2 linked regions of the Arabidopsis thaliana genome follow. The protein of the gene in region 1 interacts with the protein of each later gene in a biochemical or structural test. Each region holds a gene or a part of one and is shown on either strand. Other genes may lie near its edges.

Region 1 (4,708 bases):
AGAGAATTTCCCATAAGTGGTGGTTTTTCAATCTTTTATACTAGGTAATCTCATGTCCCATAAGATGTTTTATTAAAGCAGTGCATGCGACAACCAATCAGCCAAATAAGAAATGTGTGAAAAAAATAAAAATTGGGAACATAAAGATTGAAACCTCAAGAACTGGTAGATACGGAAAGTCCTTCAGAGTTGTTATCTTGTTCTTACTTGCTGCTAGTACCTGAGAAAAAAAAATTTATAAGATCTCTAAAAAACTATGACTTGTAACAAGGTACTGAAAACAACCTCAATTCTGAAACAGAAAATCTACCTGAAGCCGGGGCTGGCTTGCCATTGCAAGTGACTTTAATTTATTTTGAGCAACCGAGAGAAACTACCATGGGAACAAGAAAGGTGATAGTTGGAAAAAGTAAGGGGCAATCCACAAGTATGTAAGTATGAAGACTTGATAGCAATTATTTGGCACAAAATTGGAACAAGAGGCTTTGTAATTTCTGATGCTCACCTCTAAGTTTGGAAGTTGAGGCAGACTAGCAAGTGAAGTTATCTGATTTCCAGCAAGATAAAGTTGCTGCCCAAGTAATATAAGATTTAAATGTTCATCAGATAGCACTCATGAAGGAAGAACCAAGGATAGAATGGGAGAGAAAGAAACCTGCAGCATTTTGCAATTCTCAAGTGGTTCAAATCCAGGCCCTTTGAAATCATTAAAACTCAAATCCAGAACCTGAGATTAATGATAGTAACAGAATCATAGCTAGTGTGAGCATATATATCTATTAAAAACCAAGAACCCCAGGAAAATGAATTTACTGACCTTGACTCGATTCAATATCTCAATACCTTCCAGCGTAGATAGGAGATTGTCTCTAAGATAGACAAACTGGAAAGAGTAGAAGTAGAGGAAATTAAAATAAGTTGAATACTCGCATAAATGAGGCGGCATATTTAGTGTCCAAAAGATTGTATTTGTCGTTCGGAGATTTTTAAAACTAGCAGCAGGAACTCACTAAGAAGATTCAAAGTTTTTCCTCGTGAGATGTAAATAACTAATCCTCCCTACTTCTATTCAAATCCACAATTGGCATATATGTACATAAACATCATTGTCACAAAGCATTGCACTAGAACACTGTGAAGTTACTATGGAAATATAAGTTTACCTCTAAGTTTGGTGATAAGTGTAAGCCACCAGAGGTTAGACTGCGAATCCTGTGGCCTCTAAGATCCAATCTCTTAAGCAATTACAGACATCCATTAATCAACAACCACAGAAAGGATTGAACCTATTGTATGAAAATCTAGCAAGTACAAAGAGAAAGTGAATTTGTACCATGTCATCGCCAGCTTTAACCTCCACCTTTGGAAGAATAATGAGTCGTGAATCACGGCTTTCAGGGGTAGATGTTTTCTTCCGTCCAGAGAAGTTGGAAGTCCGGTCTAGAGGTGACGAAAATGACTTTGATCTTATACTGCTAGAAACAGAAGGTGATGATCCCGCAGAGGGAGAAGAAACTTTAGAAACTGTCCTCCCACTTGTGAGAGTAGAGTGTAGTCTTCCACTACTAGTCCTGCTGCCACTACTGTCAACTGATGAAGATGGAGCTCTTTTCGAAGACACAGAAACACTCATGGCTGGTCTAGCAGAAGACTCAGGCTTACTTAAACTAAACCCAGTTGACTTTGTCAAACTCCGACTACCTGGTGATACGGGGACAGACTTTTTACTCTCGGAAAGGCTTGGTTTGGATACAGTCTTAGCAGAAAGAGAAGACACAGAGCTCTTCCTCAATTCTGGAAGTGATCGTCTTACCGGATCAGTACGTGAGGCAGTAGTACTCACTTGCTTAGGCAGAACCTTAGAGGTACCAGCTAAATTCTCTGTTACTCCTCCAGTACTATTTCTCCTGATAGTCACAGGCGTAGTACCCGAGACCCGTAATGAAGAAGACGCAGTTGGCTTTATTAAATTCGAACTAATAACTGGTTTCTTTTTAGTAGAAGCAGCTCGATTTGACACCACAGACACTGCAGAAACACTCTCTGGGCTTCTGCTTTCATTAGCTATAGTTGCATTGTCCTCTTTCACTGCATCTACATTGGTTTCCACAGTTTCTTCCTCAACCTTAGCTGCTACTTCCTCCATAGTGAAATCAATCCAAACTTATGCAGATACAAAAGAAACTCAAATCAGAAGAGACGCATGATCAAATCATTAACAAAAAAAAGGAAACTTTATTCATTATACACAATCTCTCTACTTTATTTGTTGTATCCAAATTTCTCCGAAGTAAAAATACAGAATCAAATGACCAAGTGGCCCACGCACATTGTTTGGAATGGAACGCGCATGTAACAATTACTCTACTTTATTGGGTCCGGTCATAACAGGATTTACTAATAAAAAAAGTACGGACTTTAGTAGATTGTCTAAATTCAAGAACACAGACAAACAGAGTTTCTGGCTTCTTTCAGCTAACACTGTCGGTTACCTTCTACGATTTTTTGGTCCTTTTGTGAACAACCAATCCGCATTAAGCAGTGTTTATTTTTGAAAAAAATGTGAAATTCTTGTGAGTGAAACAAGCAGACGAAATTGCAGAAAGTGAGAGTTTTTAGCAATGAAGAAATTCGGGGAAAATAAAGTTTCTTCATTTAAGGAAATAAACCAATAGTAAGACAGGACAAGGAAAATAAATACTTACTGCACTGAACAATGAAGTAACCAGTAAAATCAAAAACCCATTTTCACCGTTTCACAATAACTCCGGTGGCGAGAATCCCGGCGACGATTCCGGCCGTTGAGAACTTGTTAAACAGAGCAATAGAGGCTGAAACAGAGAAATGTAGATCTGGATGAAGCAGAGAATAAAAAACGCAGCTCACTGATTGAAGCTTTTTTGAATGGAATCGAACAAAAGTGAAAACGACGATTAAAAATTGAGGGAAAATAGCTGGAGAGAGAGATGTTGGCGAAAGAAAAAGAAAAAAAAGTAAGGAACAGTGTAAACAGTGTGTAGCGGAAGAGTGTGTTGTGTAATATGTTTAACCCAAAATATACACCCCTATATTATACTTTAATTTATGTTTTTCACCCTCTTATTTTTTAAAGTTCCATGCAAGTACCTTACATTTAAAATTATCATGCGATGTCGGAAACTCAATTTTGTTTCTAAGTTTACCCGGTGAAAATGATAAAACGGTTATAAAAGTATGAGACAGTTGTGGATAATTATAGTAGTATAGGGACTATAATGAAAAGTAATTATCCAGAAGAAAAGAGAGGAACATTATAAAAAGAGAATAAATTAGAGAATTTGATGGTGAGAGAGAAAAGTTTGAAAATTTAGAGAATTTTAAATTGGCGGAAACCGTAAAGGCAGAGTTAAATGGCAAGTGGACGTTTTTCGAAAACTGATGAAATTGTTTTTATTTATTTAACCAACGATAAAATGATGTGCTCAAAAAGTCAAGAAAACAGATTCCTTTTTAAAAAAATTTAAATTTTTTGTGTTCTACTTATCCTAAATTATTACTCATAAAAATCTTCAATTAATTTTAAAATAAGCTCCACCTAAGAATCAATTAATGTCACTATCTTTTATAAGTAATCAAAATAATTGCATCCGCCATTCCTTCTACCCAATAATTATTAGTATAACCCACTAAATATTATTATCCCCTACCTATAATTTTGGTACCTTGTTTTAATCAATGAAAAGAATCGAAAAACAAAAATATGTATAGCCAGAGTGGAACATAAATGAAAGTTTGAAAAAAATCACATTTGTTGATGATGATAATCTTTTTAACTAAAGTATCCCAATGAAAGCTTCATATCTTAATTCTTGAACATTATTCATAATTCATCATCATCATCATCTTTTCTTCAAGTAGCTTCAACACAAGTCTATTGCCCAACTACTATCTATAGTTTAAGCATACGTATTTATGTTTCTTCGGTTCAATTGCACAAAACCGAATTTGGTTCGGATTCAATTCTATTATTTCGGTATTCCTACAGGTTATTTCGGTTGGATTCGGTTATTCATTCACACGGTGAGGATAATACTATCCAGATGAAGGATAGGAATGATCTGAACGCCAAACAAAGACAATTAGTGATCAGCGAATCGCCGCCTTTTTGAGTCGTCTTGCAGCAAAGTAGATTCCGCGGCAAATCACAGAACACCAATCGGAATAATCACACAAGAACAAAACTTGTTAATCAGGAGAAGACGACAGAGAGAGAGAAGGAGAGAGATCTTCCATGGCGGATTCGGAAGCAGATAAGCCACTGAGAAAAATCTCAGCCGCTTTCAAAAAACTAGCAATCATCGTGAATTCACCGAATCCGGAAGTTCCTGTAACGCAATTCTCTCACGCTTGCTCTCTGGTCTCGCCTCTCTTTGGTTGCCTTGGAATAGCTTTTAAGTTTGCGGAAATGGACTATGTTGCCAAGGTTTGTTTATGTAGTAGATTTGAATCAAAGTCCGAATCTTTTTCTAGTTGTGTTCACTTTCATGTACTATTGAGTATATTGTGAGATGTTGGAATTGATTTAGTTTCTGTAGTACTCAGACTGAATTTTGCTAATTTGATGGAAATGGATGTTGTGTTTGTTTATCTGGAGGATGAATGTTTTGGAAAATGAAATGTTAAAACTTGTGAATGTGACTATAGGTTGATGATCTTGTGAGGGCGTCGA
Region 2 (7,988 bases), on another chromosome or scaffold:
CTTCTTCCTCACCTTTTTTACCGGCTTGCTCTTTCCAGTATGCTACCAACTTCTTCAATCGCACCATCTCTTTGGATGATATATGTTTGCTGGGATCATTCACGATCGTTCTCACTCTCGATGCATATCTGGAATCAAAGGAGGAAAAAAAACAATATGGATTATCCATTTTTACACTAAGCATATTTGATTTATGTTATATATATATGGGAACTCATGACTTACAGAAGAGAATTGTACGTCTCGTCCAAATTTGATTCGGCTGGAGACACATTAACAAACATTAACGTCTTGGCATTGCCGCCCAATGAATCGCTCATCAACATCGTTAGCTTGTGATTCCTATAAGGAATATGCTGGTTGCCAGAAGATAAAGCACCAATAACATCACCTAATGCAGAAAGTGATTTGTTGATACTTTGAGCTTCTTTGAGTTGACAACCAGCTGAGCCCGACTTTTTAACTCTCTCAGAACCAGCAAGATCCACAAAACTCAGCTGCAAATAACAAACAAAAATTCAGAATATTGTAGAAGATACCACCATGATCAGGTGATATGGGTTTAACAATGGAGGGCATATCATTGACTAATAATATGGATTGTGTACATAAAGGTTTAACATTTTGTACCAGACCAAAGATTTGAGCTGTAAAATAATATCTCTCTTAAACAAGATTAATGTTACTATATTTTTCTTCGGTAGACTAAGCATGAAAATCTAAAGAAACTCCTATTTCCTTAAAATCCCTAAATGCTACTAAATCCTGTGAAAAATGATAATGAGTCAATAAAGAAAAACATAGTGAATTTTGTCACCTTGCCCCTCGCAGCAGACTGGGTTTGAAGATCAATACTTTCAATAACAACTGATAATATGAGGTGAGATCTTGAGCTTTCTTCATTCATATTTGTTCCAGAAACATGTCGTCGTTCCGATCCCCGTTCAAGAATCATTCGCAGTTCCTCCAAAGTTGATATAGGAATAGTTGTCACATTCTCTACAAAGACCATTCCCTGAGAAAATATTTTATGCATAAGATCAAACTTACGTGTCTACAATCTAGTTATAACCTAGTTAAAATAGATATATCTCACAATACCTTTGAATCTTTTTTAATCTCTAGTTTCAAGCGTCTTGCACTTTTTGGTAACAAAAGGTCTACAAGTGTGTCTTGATAAAGTTCCACCATATATGCCTGCATAACTTTTTGTAGTCAGTTGATGTCATAATCTTTTATCACATCATCTATTAGGATAACAAATTACCTTTAGAGAAAATGAAAATCTCTTGCTATCTCGCTTTAATATGTTGAACAGTTCCTTTGTAGCTCGAGGTGTGAGTCCAGGATTGCTCTCATGCCCATATATAGTGAAAGTTTTTCCAGAACCAGTTTGACCATATGCAAAGATGCAAACGTTATACCCATCTACAGCCGACTGTACCAAATACTGTTAAAAGGAAAACGATGTTAGTAACCACAAGAAAATAACAAAGGATGAAAGGTAAATGAACACAGTTACATATCAATAATACCTTTGTGTCTTCAAAGATATCATCTTGACTAGCACGCATGTCAAATACGCGATCATATATGTGTTGCTTTCTTTTGTCGTCTTTCCATGGATGTTCAACAGTAAACTCATCCACAGTTGTCAGCATTTGTTTTTCCCTCTCTGAACTCTCTTTTTCATTTAGAGGTCTTATTCGACAATAAACTCTAATCTTCCCTTTCATATCTACAATCAAATAAAAATGTTAGTAAAATTCTTTTTTAAAAGCAATGAACATCATTGTACATACTTGAGCATTATGTTACCTTCTATGGTATTATAGTATCTTTTCCTTAAAACTTGTTCTTCCTTATAAAGTATTTCTAGCTCAGCAAGTTGGGCTCCTTGCATTTTCAAAATGGCAGCTGTTTGCTCATTTTTTCTGTCAATGTCCTAAGAAAATGAAATTGGAATGTAAACACATCCCTCTACTTCAATTTTGAATCGCGAAAATACATTATCATCATTCAAACAGAAACAAAATTAAATAATGAAGAAGACAAAAGAGTACCATTACCTCTTTCATTTCTCTTAACTCCTCAAGTTCTTTCAAGTTATTTTGCAACAGCAGCATGTCAGAATTCTTACTTTCAATCGTAGACTCAGCACTATCCAAGTCTTGAGCAAGTACTTCAAGCTTATTTTCAAGTTCAGAAACTCGAAGCTTTAACACCTTTTTTTCTTGTTCATATCTCTTTTGATGAATTTCAACCTGAAATAATGAGATGTCAACAATACGCAAGTATTTGATACTTCTCAATTTGAAATCTTCAATAAATCTAATACATAGAATTCACCTCCTCTTTTTTCTTCTTTTCAATATTGAGATTTTGCTCCAATATCTTGTTTTCACTCAACAACCTCTTTGAATTATCAACTGCGACATGCAATTCCTTATTTCGAACTTCTAACTCCTTTTGGATCTTGTATAATATCTGTGACTTAAAATTCATTGTCAAAGGAAAGCAGAATTGGAAACAAAAAACAACAACTCAATGATTACAATGAATTAGATTTAAACACATAATATTCACCTGATTATTCATTTCGGCTAATTCTGATTTTGTCTCTTTACTTGATTTTGTGTTGCCCGACTTTGCCAACCTTGCTTCCATTCCTCGCAGTTCAGACATCAAGGACTATAGCATATATAGAATAAATCATTAAATAACTTCAACCAAGCATCAAAAGAAAGACAAAAGTTAGGTTATAACTAACTTGAATAGTTGTTCCCTTCTCGTCACACAATGACCTAAGTTTATCTCGGTCTAAAGTAACCTCCAACAATTTTCTCCTTTCAAGCTCCAAACCATTGTGTATAGCTTCTAACTCTTCACGCAGAGTAACTTCTTGCTGATTTTTCTCTTGTTGTTCATCCATCAACTATACAACAACATAAAACATACGAATAGTTCATCAGCATGCCACTCTAAAACAAAAGAGGTCATGGTATAACATTCTACATACAATAACATAAGATAGGAGGGTGATATATACTGAAATATCTCAAGACTACCAAGCATAAAAACCATGAAAAAATCCAACTACAATAAGTTATTTCATGTATTTAAACAAAGATCAGCCTCCCTCTATTATATTCAATTTTACATTGAAGAATAAATAAGAAATTTGTTAGAATGTGTACCTTCTCAATCTTCTTTTGGGACTCTTCATAAGCCTTAGACAAATCTTGCAAACGTTTTTCATACACTTCAAAATTTTGCGGCTTAGAACTACAAGATATATCTCCATTAACCAAGCTATTGGCAGCAGATCGAGCTTTGGAGTAACGACGCAACATGACATCATTTATATGTGTTTGCAAAGCAACACAAATTTCTTCTCCCTACAAACATACAAGTTACCCAAATTGAATATCTCATAAGGAATTGCTTCATAATATAATGATCCACAAATAGTGATGTTTAAACCTGTTTTGTCTCGAACTGAAATATGTGAAGAACACCAGCGACTCTCATTTTGAAAAAGACAGCAGTGTTACTGCTGCCAAATTGCATGATGTCACGTAGTTCAGCAGAGTGCAGATATTCTTTAGGAACCGGTCGAAAAAAGTGAACCTACAAGAAAGCAAACAACAAATTCAAATCCAACAACATAGATTTGAATTCCAAACAACAATAACAGTTTTTTTAAAGTCATAATGTATAACATTTATATTGAGACTAACCCCACGTTTGTTGATACCCAAAATGATTCGCCCAGGTAAAAGACCGATCGGATCATCTATCTTGCGTACGCTAAAAAAAACTGAATTCCCGTATGGCAGTGCCTTCAGTATCCGTAGAAATTGTTGTCTTGCATCATCTTTGGTCACGTTCTCCTACATGCCCACATACACATACGAAATATCATTTTACCATGCCATCACTTCAATGGGTTTTTATTTGCCAAAGGTATCTAGAAAGGGGAAGACAATCAAAATGCATAGAACTATTCCTACCATTGAACGGTAGCGAGCAAGGATATCCAATTCCCATTCACGCTTTGCTCGGGTTATTGCTATTTGTCTTGGCAAAAACCGCTCAAGAAGTGATGTCCAATCACTGATATGTGATACATTGAGAAAGGAAATGATATTGTTAAGGGAGGAAAATTGGAAAAATAAAGTATCGGACAACTAAAATAAAGTCAATGGCGGAGCTTAAGAAAACTAACATGCATGACTCTGGACTATTGACAAACCCAATCCCAACAAGAATTTGCAAGGCACAAAGCTGTGCAGCATCGTCCCTCCCAACAGGATAGTTTCCTAGCAAATAGTCATGTTGCAGCTGCATATATGTGTGTCAGCAACGAAAGGCAAGCCTTTTGTGTGGAAATAAATGTCACCAATGAAGAAAATGCTCACTTGAACATACGAAAGTTGCACAAACATCAGATCTGTTACAGCTTCATCAGACTCTCGGAATAATTTTTTTTTAAATACCAGTTTGCAGTGTAGTATCTCTCCTTTATTTCGATCTTTAATAGCTTTAAATTCTGCGAGGAGATCTCCAATATACTTGTTATCATCCAATCCTATATATTCCTCTGCAAGTGCACAGATAGAAAAATGATCGATAATGTTGTATTACTTCACAATATATGACGAAGCCAGTCATATGAAAGCATACCATTTCCGGGATCAGATGATTTAGAACTTGAAACAACTTTACGACATTCAAACAAACTAAAGCTAGAGAAAGCTGATAGTTTAATTGTTCCAGCTAGCTCCTGAAACAGATGTCAATGCAGTGAGAGAAAAAGGGACAAGAATATGATCAGCGGTAAATTATGAAAAAAGAAAGCAAGAAGATACCTCAACAGCATCAGACACTGTGGTAGCCATGTCATATGAAATTTCTTCAAAAGTTTCATCGAGAAAGAAGACAATGGTTGTGAGCTTTCTACCGGTCAAAAGGGCTTCAATTTCTTCACGACCAGGTGTGGTGTGCCTAGGACCAGCTTTGATAGAGCGCTTTAAAGCTTTCAAAGTGTTAACAGCAAGAACCTGAGCATCCGGTTCAATAGTTGCATCGTGTGCGACATTATGAATATACTCAGATAGATATCCACCGATATCTTTGCTAGGAGGCATAGAGGAGGCACATAAGTACATCAATTCCCAAGCTTTGATCAAGTATTGCCTGTCAGGATTATGTCTAGTCTGTTTGGAGATTTGGGCAAAAAGTTCGTCCCTGAGTTCAACACGCTTCAAAGTTTTTTTGAAGAGCTTTCCAACGAGGTCAATGCGTTCATCTAAACTGGGAGGCGTAGATCGATCAGATGAATCAACACCCATATATTTTAAGATGAGATGAAACAACTTGGTAGCACGGCTGACGAGATCGCTGTTAATCTTGAGGAGAGATGTGGGGATTGGATCCTGAAGGAAGGAAGGGGAGAGAGACATATTCAGTCAATGGATTGTCAATGGGGAAGAAAGGGGGGGAAAGAAAAACCTTTTGAAAGCAAAGCATATCCTCAAATGTGAAGCGCTCGCGGACATTGGAGCCAGAGGACTTTTTGGAATAGAAGAAGCCACGCTTCCCAGCAGACTGGATTTGTTTCTGCATTAGCCGCAGAAAAGCTTCAACCTGGAAGCGATCGATGAGGGGAATGGCGGCGGCAAGCTCCGCAGGAATTGACAATGCCACTTGAGGAGCTGGGGAGCTGTGACAGAGCGAGAGACTAAGAATGTTTTCAAATTTTCAAAGAAGAAGGATCAACAGAGACAGCAGCAAGAGAGTGAATGTTTTTAAAAATTCAAAGAAGACTTACAGAGGAGGAAGAGAAGACGACTCGGCATCGAAATCGGTTCCAGAGGGATTGGGAACATAGAAGCAAGAAGAAACGTCGGTGGCGACTTCGGTGCCATTGCCAGAGCTCAACGAAGAATTACTGCCTCGTTGGCCCTCCATACCCGAAGAAAAAGAGAGATTGTAGTAGATCTGATGAACAAATTTGCCCCAGAAATTTGGGCAGAGGGAGAGAGAGAGATGGGGAGACGAGAGTCACGGGAGATTTTTAATTGCCTCTTCTCATTCAATACTTCACGATTCACCTGATTTTCTAATTATTTTTCGTTTTCAGAAGATGAGACCAAGGAGGAATCTCAATCAAATAAATGAACAATGACTATAGACGTGCTTCCACGTCCGTTTGCCATGGTTGTGCCTCCAACACCATTAACAAATCTTAACACAATTCTGCTCTGCTGCTTTGGTGTCAATTCTCAAATACAATAATGATTTATGTAATGTATGCAAGTCCTATTCAACACAAGTGTTGTTACATTTATTTTCTTTTTTCTTTCCCACAGACGTAAACAATAGTGCTCCATCACCTTCTCCACTTCACAGCTTTGCGATCCCTAAAGCAGGCAAGTTATTCCTTGGCGGAAGCTTTAGATCATCCTCCCGTTCCACTCTCTCGAAGTACTGCTCCACCATGCTATCCTTCATGTCCTCCAGTCGCCTTGGCTCCCACTATAATTTCAGATATTGTTATCAACAATGTCACATATTACCAACCACAAATAACAAATGGAGAGACTTGTTAAACCTTTGGGTTCTTATCTTTGTCTACCAATATGGCTCTGCACCCCTGCATAAGTAAAGACACGCTGTTGTAACTACGGTCTACAACAAAGACGGTTTCAGATGGAAAAAGCTTGCAAAACCTCCACAAAATCTTTGCTGATTTCTCCCTTCATCACATGACACACCATTCTATACTCGCGGATAAGACACTGCCCCACCCCCTGCAATCGCCCTTCCCTTATCTGAAATATATACTCACAGTCAGCTCTTTGTCAACATTGCCTGTGATGCACATTCTGGGAACTAACCGATCTAAGAGAGATTTTAAGGCTTGCTGGTGAACCCTTCTTCAATGCTTGAATGGTAGCTGAGATCCAACCATCTGCTTCTTGAGTGGCCTCTCTCTCCTAAGCAACACATATGATGGTAGAGTGCGTTGTCAAAGGTAAATCAGTCAACTCAGGATCGCAAGTCAACATCTCTATATATAAATGAAAAGCTTACAAGTGCAGATATAATTTCTTCGACTGTTCTCCTTGAGAAACACCTATCAATAACATCTAACCTGCGCAACAAACGGGGAGATAAAAAATAACTGTCCTCTGCACTTTTATAAATTTTCAATTAAAGATCAGATGAGAAATGAGTTCTGTAAAGAGCGATTGAAAACCTGACAGCAATACGAAATTGAAATTATAGAAAAAATGTGTTATAATCATGGTCAATAACCGAGAAAATGTAATCAGGTAAAACCATACTAGTAGAAAGAGTAAAAGAGATAAAAATCATATAGACTTGCCTGCGGTAAGCACTCTGCTGTTTCAGGCGCGGATGCTGGGTGTATGCATCGAGAATTGTTGAGGCAAAAGTTGGATCATTTGAATTAATTCTGCAAAGATCTGCTTCTAATGCAGTCAACCTCTGTGGAAAGGAGTAAACCTAACTAAGTAGCAATCCTTGGTGAAGCAGATAGTGCTTGACACTAGTAGCTATACAATATCTGATGTGTAAAGTCAATTCAGAATGTCTTACGAAATAGACGCACGCAAAGGAAGTTCATACCGTTGAAGGCACAAAATGAGTTGCAAGGCCACAAGCAAGCATTTCAGCACCATCTAATCTAGCTCCTGTGAGGCCAACATACTCCCCTGAACAAAAAAGACAAGAAAGCATTTTCAAACTTTGGTGGCTTTAAGAAGATGCAAAAAAAGGAAATATAGCTTCTGTTACCAAAAAAACCAGGGAGCCTTGACAAGAAGTAGGAGGCGCCTACATCTGGAAAGAGCCCCAGAGCTGTCTCAGGCATGGCAAAAACCTTGGAGAAAGTCGAAAGATATGAGCATATTTTGGAGCGACCTATTTGTCATCCATGGACATGTTTAAGGAAAGATTAC

Evidence for each region.
Region 2: the proteins of AIR9 (region 1) and ZWI form a complex in vitro, tested with the Arabidopsis thaliana proteins (one study listed by BioGRID).

The regions. Positions count from the first base shown.
Region 1 is NC_003071.7:14,626,155-14,630,862, forward strand, and holds the start of AIR9 (Outer arm dynein light chain 1 protein), read right to left. Parts: upstream 3,030-4,708; 5' UTR 2,656-3,029; coding exon 2,493-2,655; intron 2,164-2,492; coding exon 1,334-2,163; intron 1,236-1,333; coding exon 1,164-1,235; intron 884-1,163; coding exon 818-883; intron 728-817; coding exon 656-727; intron 572-655; coding exon 506-571; intron 374-505; coding exon 311-373; intron 221-310; coding exon 155-220; intron 1-154. Other genes in the region: ACD11 (Glycolipid transfer protein (GLTP) family protein), read left to right, coding at 4,271-4,462, 4,684-4,708. UniProt on the Arabidopsis thaliana protein: Microtubule-associated protein that may be involved in the maturation of cell plates and proper insertion of cross-walls after cytokinesis.
Region 2 is NC_003076.8:26,370,422-26,378,409, forward strand, and holds the start of ZWI (kinesin-like calmodulin-binding protein (ZWICHEL)), read right to left. Parts: upstream 6,027-7,988; 5' UTR 5,974-6,026; coding exon 5,834-5,973; intron 5,744-5,833; coding exon 5,515-5,743; intron 5,439-5,514; coding exon 4,872-5,438; intron 4,787-4,871; coding exon 4,687-4,786; intron 4,604-4,686; coding exon 4,422-4,603; intron 4,345-4,421; coding exon 4,229-4,344; intron 4,117-4,228; coding exon 4,014-4,116; intron 3,894-4,013; coding exon 3,741-3,893; intron 3,631-3,740; coding exon 3,484-3,630; intron 3,399-3,483; coding exon 3,198-3,398; intron 2,936-3,197; coding exon 2,771-2,935; intron 2,692-2,770; coding exon 2,587-2,691; intron 2,488-2,586; coding exon 2,350-2,487; intron 2,265-2,349; coding exon 2,070-2,264; intron 1,946-2,069; coding exon 1,819-1,945; intron 1,739-1,818; coding exon 1,536-1,738; intron 1,451-1,535; coding exon 1,268-1,450; intron 1,198-1,267; coding exon 1,102-1,197; intron 1,016-1,101; coding exon 818-1,015; intron 498-817; and 3 more. Other genes in the region: CHY1 (beta-hydroxyisobutyryl-CoA hydrolase 1), read right to left, coding at 6,409-6,540, 6,617-6,658, 6,735-6,836, 6,903-7,001, 7,099-7,159, 7,394-7,515, 7,657-7,742, 7,825-7,909. UniProt on the Arabidopsis thaliana protein: Minus-end microtubule-dependent motor protein involved in the regulation of cell division and trichome morphogenesis through microtubules bundling. Possesses basal and microtubule-stimulated ATPase activities.